Linked DNA regions of Arabidopsis thaliana. The protein of the gene in region 1 interacts with the protein of each later gene in a pairwise test. Each region holds a gene or a part of one and is shown in the gene's direction. Other genes may lie near its edges. The genes, in order: AT2G33830 and NPC4.

Region 1 (3,487 bases):
GTAAAAACCTAAGTAGTAAGTATTGCATAAGCTAACAATTCTTATGTTCATTTGCAGGGGTATGTCGAAAAGTATGGTAAACCCTGAGTTATCAAACCAAATGTCACTTGGTGTGGCATGAGCTCAAACTGATGAGATTCCTGTACATTATGTCATCCTTCTTTTACTCAGTTATAGATTTAGTACGTAGCACCTAAATTCTTTGGAACTCCATTCCTATCCTTTACCGATAATGGAATAAGGTTGGAATGGGAGCTTGGTGGAGGAAATGTGTACACATTGTAAAACTCTTCAAAGCTTAATTTATGCTTAAAACAGTTTTCTTTTACCTTTGGGAATATGATTTAGAATGTGATCTTTAGAAGTAATGTGATAAAGAATGGTTGCCTTGGAAGCAGAGGAAAAGAGAAAGAAATGGAATAATGTTGAGGTACGTTTCCTAACTATTTGATAAGTAATTTAGCTTTGTGAAACCAAGATTTTTCAAATTAGAAGTTAGTTTTAGTTTTGTATTTCTCCATCAATATAAGTAAAACCTCTGTAAATTAATACTCGGTAAATTAATAACCTCTATAAATTAATAATTTCTTCCAATCCCGAGGTGAGACTAATGGAAAAAATGACATAAATCGATAAATTAATAAGATAATAATTTTTTTGAAAATCCTATGTAAATATATGGTCTCATTAATATCACAAATTAATAATTGCAGAAATGTATCAACTATATATACATTATATGTAAGAAATTTCTTTAAAATATATTTCTAATATTTTTTTTTGCTTAAATTTGTATTTATTCTTATTTGATATTGAGTTCTAATATTTTATTGTATCAAAAAATTTTGGTGTTGTTTTCTAAATATGATATTACTTTTTACTTGTAATTGATTCTTAAAAAATATTTTCTATAATGAAAAAATCTTAAATTTTTTTTAAAAGTTAATAAATTAGAAAAATATCTCTATAAATTAATTAATTAATCGATAAATTAAAACCTCTATAAATTAATATAATTTTTCGGTCCTAACATTATTAATTTATAGAAGTTTTACTGTAAGTAGAAAGTGGTTTTTGGTTTAGGATAAAGTGCATACGTTTTGTGTACAGTTTTGGAATTAGTTTTATCTTTTTCAAACATTTTAGTGAATCATTTGGACTATGATCATTAGGACATCATGAACTTATTATCTATGGTGGGTTTGTGGAAAACTATTTGATTAGAGTTACTGTTGCTTAATAATATTAACTTCACAAAATAATCAAAATATGTTTGTTGTTCCTATAATACTTTTCCACGAAAGACTTGGGATTCTTTTGATTTAAGGGTCCCTACACTTTATGACTCGTCGTCCTTATCCATATCTCCAGCTCTATACCCACCTTGCATTTTTTTTATTTCCACACTTCTCCCTCACTGCTCACGCTTCTCATGATCAATGGTTTGATCTATATTATAACATTAATGTTATATATTAAGGTCCTTTAAAGTAGGCTTATCCACATCCTAATTTCCAAAGATGGCGTGTATTTTAGCTCTAAACCCTGGAAGTTGCATGTTATATTAAAATGTTGTAAAATGACATATTAATACATAACACACAATTTACAATTATATTATGTATTCATGTTGTTTATTGACAGAGAATAATAACATTTTGGCTAAACGTATCAAATTTTAACGAAAATTCTATGTGCAAGTATATAAACTTCATTTGGTAATTAAGTTATCAATTACTTGTCAATTATTTCTAGTCTATTATAGTATTTCTCTAGATATTTTGTGGGTCAAATAAAAAATGAGAGAACTAGTCGACAAAGGAAAAGAGATATTTTTACGAATAGTTTAAAAATGAGTCTATAAATTAGATGAAGGAAGCCCTTTAGTAAGTACTTCACACTTGACACAATTCTATCCAAAATCAACCCAAAAAAAGAAAGAAATATGTGGGATGAAACTGTAGCCGGACCTAAACCGGAGCATGGCCTTGGCCGCCTCCGCAATAAGATCACCACCCAACCCCTTGACATCAAAGGTATTTATTTTTCTTTGTCAACCATAACTCCGTAATAAACTTGCATATACAGATCTTTGTAGAAACGTATGATCTCATAATTATATCATGTGATGGTTTTTGGAAGGTGTAGGAGAAGGGAGCAGTAGTAAAACTGTGGCGGCGGTGGCCGGGAGTCCTGGAACTCCGACGACGCCAGGATCGGCGCGTAAGGAAAACGTGTGGAGAAGTGTGTTTCATCCAGGAAGTAACATCGCCACTAGAGGAATGGGCACAAACCTCTTCGACAAGCCTTCTCACCCAAACTCTCCCACCGTCTACGATTGGTACGTACTCAGTTTCTGTTATTATTATCTGACCGGACGGTGTAGATCAGATCTAAGATGGTTTGACCGTTGTTGTGATCCCGCAGGCTATACAGCGACGACACTAGGAGCAAGCACCGTTGAGCCGAGAGGGTAGAGTGACATGAGAATGATGTAAAATAATTATGTTCTTTACGCCACGTGTTTATGTTCTGTTTCGTCTATTTTGGCTATATGTGCAATCTTTTATTTGCTTCATGTCGTTTGTGTTTGTTAGTGACCGTTGATTTCCACCATCTGGGTTAGTTTTTAGCTTTTAACGGTGGCGATGCGTCTTCAGTGTCTTGTAATATTTTTACTGTTCGGTAATATTACAATTAGCTTCTCTAATGATTTAGCTAACAATATAACTTAACTTAACTATAATTAGCAAAATGGAATTTAACTTAACCATGGTTGATCTCATATCATTATTTTTATTTTATTTTATTTGTTCATCATTAAAATATCTCAATCATGCATGGTTAGATGAATTCGTTGTGTCAACAAACAATTATGATAGTGATTTGATTAAATTTTAACTGAACTATGGTTGATCTCATCTCATTAAATAACAAAAACATAACAATGGTTAAATGCATTCTTTGTGTCAACAAACCATTATGATAGTGATTTAATTAAAGTTTATACATGTCTTTGGATACAGTTGTAATTTTTTATATATATTTTTTTGTCTGATTTGATATAATTATACAAAGTTACACAAAAAGAACCAATCCAAAGCTCAGGGATCAACCTATTTTAATCACCATGGTTGATCTCATCTCATTAAATAACAAAAACATAACCATGGTTAGGTGAATTCTTTGTGTCAACAAACCATTATGATAGTGATTTAATTAAAGTTTATACATGTCTGGATACAAATGTAATATATATTTAATTTTTTGTCATCTGATTTGATTAAAGAAGAAGATAGAATACAAGGTTACACAAAAAGAACCAACCCAAACCTGAGTCCTGCGGGATCAACCTATTCAAAGCACATTTTCAATACAAGGGGAATATACAAAAGAAGTGTCTCCACCTACACAAAAACACACAAGTTCATAGAGAAGAAAGAGATCTTTCACCATTAAACACACGTTACACACCTTGCAACCAAGA
Region 2 (3,939 bases), on another chromosome or scaffold:
AATTTAACCGGCTCGGCGTTAGGGTTCCGACTTTCTTCATCTCCCCTTGGATTGAGCCTGGCACAGGTAAGTATGTGGTAGACAATAATTTAATTATACTATAATGTGTTAATTAAATGACAATTTTTGGTAAAATGTGTAGTTCTTCATGGGTCAAATGGGCCGTACCTAATGTCACAATATGAGCATTCGTCAATTCCCGCAACGGTCAAGAAAATTTTCAAACTCAAAGATTTTTTGACAAAGAGAGATTCGTGGGCTGGCACTTTTGAATCTGTTATTACGAGAAACTCACCAAGACAAGATTGCCCTGGTAATTACATTTTTTCATTTCTAATAAATTCTATCAAAATTTGTGATTATTTTGAATAAATACTTCGTTTTTTAAAAAAAAAAAGAAACATTGTCAAATCCGGTCAAAATGAGAGGGACGGTGGCAAAAGAAAATGCAGAATTGAGCGACTTTCAAGAAGAGCTTGTAATAGTTGCTGCGGGTTTAAAAGGAGACTACAAAAACGAAGAATTGCTATACAAACTATGCAAAAAAACTTGCGTTTCAGATGCTTCTAAATACGTTACGAAAGCGTTTGATAAGTTTGTAGAAGAGTCTAAAAAGGCAAGAGAAAGGGGAGGTGATGAGAACGACATCGTTTTTTGCGTTGATGATGATGATGATCATAATGTTGTGAAACCACCACCATCACAATCAGAGCCATCACATGCTACTCCTTGGTCAAATTAAAATCTGATCGTCTTTTTCAATAAGTTAAACATTTGCTTCGTTTGTCATGATTACTGGACTGTATAAGAAATTTTCATTTAGTTTTTTTTTATGTAGTTTTTGTGTGAAGAGTCAATAGTAGTGTGGATCTATCAAATGGCCCCTATTGAATTCAATTTGTTTTCTAGTAATTGAACCTAAATGCTGGCGTAAAAAGAACAAAAGAAACAAAACTGCTGACATAAGTCGTATAAAAATTGTGACTGGACATGCCAACATAAACGATCTAGACTCGAAAAACAAAAAAAAAACTTAGGCGCGACTTTGTATTCCTATTCTTGTATGGCACGTCACAAAATTGTTCGAGTACAAGTTACTCTTTCGTCACTACAAAATGATCGGTAATAAATGGACACCGCTATTTTAGACCAAGTACGTTTTAGGAAATCTAAAAAGATTTATCGTGGTACAATAAAAATAGGTTGGTGGACTGTCACAATTACAAGCATAATACAAATTGTACACTAAAAATTAATTAATATCCCACCTTGAATCGAAGATCATACGAATTCTTGTTTCTTTTTTTCACACGACCACGAGTATTATTTTATTTTATGAAAAGGTATCAGTATCACTTGGAAGGAATATGTACTGTTAATAGAAAAAATTAAATCAAAACGATAATTGTTGTCTTTATTTAATTTCCCATGTGTATTCGCATATTCTTTGGTTGATATAGAATCATACGCATATTCTCGTTTATATTCTTTGCCGTAACGTGTGTTCTTGTTTTTCTTGACAATTTTCTTCTCATGTTTCTTGTCTGTCTGAAGGTTACAAGTAAAGTCTCAACGTCAATTTTTTTTTTTTTTTTTGAAAACAATGTTAAATTATATTCAAAGAAAAAATAACGTTTGTACAACTAGTGCGTCGTGAGTTTGATATAGCTAACAGTACACAAAATTCTCTCTATATATATATATATAATGTACTTTTAATATAAAATCAACATACAAGCTAATTAGAAAGAACTACATAGATGGTCTTGAAAAAGTGAATATTCTTGACACAGACCAATTTCAACACAAGTAATTAAAAATAAATGTTGTCGTAAGAATATCAACCTTGCCACAAATTATAAATTTCCAGCTTATGGGTGCTGGTAGTTGCGTCAATTACTATCCTAACAAATTTAGTAAAGATTTTATTTCCCTCCAACTTTATTTGACGTTATACCAATTCAGTGGATAAATAACCCATGACGACGTGCATACTTATGATTTGCTGTTTACGTCTTCTTCAAATCTCCAATGATCACTACGTATATATTTATATAAGTATAACCCCCACGAATTGTTTCTACCCAAAACGTTTAACATTCGAAAAAGAAAAGAAACGGAATGATCGAGACGACCAAAGGCGGTTCAGGATCGTATCCGATCAAAACCATCGTCGTTTTGGTTCAAGAAAATCGTTCTTTTGACCACACCCTAGGCTGGTTTAAAGAACTAAACCGGGAAATCGACGGCGTCACGAAATCTGATCCCAAATCCAACACGGTTTCGTCATCCGACACAAACTCTCTTCGTGTAGTCTTCGGGGATCAGTCTCAGTACGTTAACCCGGATCCAGGTCACTCCATTCAGGATATCTACGAACAAGTGTTTGGTAAGCCATGGGATTCAGGTAAACCGGATCCAAACCCGGGTCATCCTAACATGTCCGGTTTTGCTCAAAACGCCGAGAGAAACAAGAAAGGGATGTCCTCCGCGGTTATGAACGGATTTAAACCGAATGCTTTGCCGGTTTACAAGGAGTTGGTTCAAAATTTCGCCATATGTGATAGGTAAGCCGGTTCGGTTCATCCTGATCTTAATTTTGAGTATAGTTTTCCCGGTTTAAATCAAATTTGGTTCACATTGTATACTTGGCAGGTGGTTTGCGTCGGTTCCAGCGTCGACGCAGCCAAACCGATTGTACGTACACTCGGCAACATCACATGGAGCAACGAGCAACGACAAGAAATTGCTACTCGAAGGGTTTCCACAGAAGACGATATTCGAGTCTCTCGATGAAGCTGGTTTTAGCTTTGGCATTTACTACCAATTCCCTCCTTCCACTCTCTTTTATAGGTATTTTTATCAACAATATATACGTTTTATTTGCTTTTCCTATTGAAATCGTTTATTCAGATATTAATTAATCTAGTTATCTTTAGCTTTATAAGAATTGTATAAATTTTGTCTCTTTTTGGCTATTTCCGTCTATCATTTTATAATGGGTGTTAAATCAAGGTTATTCTTTTGTTTTGGATATCTAATAAATATATCAAACTGCAAGACTCGTTTCAGTTTATGAACAAGTTTCCTTCGTTGTGCAGATTGTAAAACCTTCTAATTAAAACATTAAGATAGTCGTATATATAAACAAAGTAAATCTTATAGTAAAAAGGATAATCATACAAAATATATATATATATATATATATATAATTGTATTAATAGTTTACTTTTTAGGAATTTGAGAAAGCTGAAATATTTGACACATTTCCACCAATACGGAATACAATTCAAGAAAGATTGCAAAGAAGGAAAGCTACCCAACTACGTCGTGGTCGAACAACGTTGGTTTGATCTATTGTCAACTCCAGCCAATGACGATCACCCTTCTCACGATGTCTCCGAGGGTCAAAAGCTCGTGAAAGAGGTCTACGAGGCATTGAGATCGAGTCCTCAATGGAATGAGATTTTATTTATCATAACGTACGACGAGCATGGTGGATTTTACGACCATGTACCTACTCCAGTCGACGGAGTTCCTAATCCGGATGGTATCTTGGGACCTCCACCATATAATTTTGAGTTTAACCGGCTCGGTGTTAGGGTTCCGACTTTCTTCATCTCTCCTTGGATTGAGCCTGGCACAGGTGAACATAATTACTAGTCATAGGCATTAATCAAATTTAGTGGTCTTATATTTTCTAATCAAGATATTAATGTTTAAATCAAAGTAAATGACAATTTTGGTAAAATGTGTAGTTATTCATGGGCCAAATGGGCCGTACCCAAGGTCACAATATGAGCATTCGTCAATTCCCGCAACGGTCAAGACAATTTTCAAACTCAAAGATTTCTTGTCAAAGAGAGATTCATGGGCTGGCACTTTTGAATCTGTTATTACGAGAGACTCACCAAGACAAGATTGCCCTGGTAATTACAT

The links.
Region 2: the proteins of AT2G33830 (region 1) and NPC4 interact in a two-hybrid assay, tested with the Arabidopsis thaliana proteins (one large-scale study listed by BioGRID).

The regions. Positions count from the first base shown.
Region 1 is NC_003071.7:14,308,745-14,312,231, reverse strand, and holds AT2G33830 (Dormancy/auxin associated family protein), read left to right. Parts: upstream 1-1,623; 5' UTR 1,624-1,945; coding exon 1,946-2,036; intron 2,037-2,142; coding exon 2,143-2,341; intron 2,342-2,427; coding exon 2,428-2,464; 3' UTR 2,465-2,748; downstream 2,749-3,487. Other genes in the region: FES1 (Zinc finger C-x8-C-x5-C-x3-H type family protein), read left to right, coding at 58-87.
Region 2 is NC_003074.8:843,153-847,091, reverse strand, and holds the start of NPC4 (non-specific phospholipase C4), read left to right. Parts: upstream 1-1,995; 5' UTR 1,996-2,121; coding exon 2,122-2,567; intron 2,568-2,655; coding exon 2,656-2,853; intron 2,854-3,236; coding exon 3,237-3,646; intron 3,647-3,758; coding exon 3,759-3,929; intron 3,930-3,939. Other genes in the region: NPC5 (non-specific phospholipase C5), read left to right, coding at 1-66, 143-313, 399-742. UniProt on the Arabidopsis thaliana protein: Non-specific phospholipase C (PLC) which assumes major PLC activity during inorganic phosphate starvation. Substrate preference is phosphatidylcholine (PC), but can also hydrolyze phosphatidylethanolamine (PE) with lower efficiency.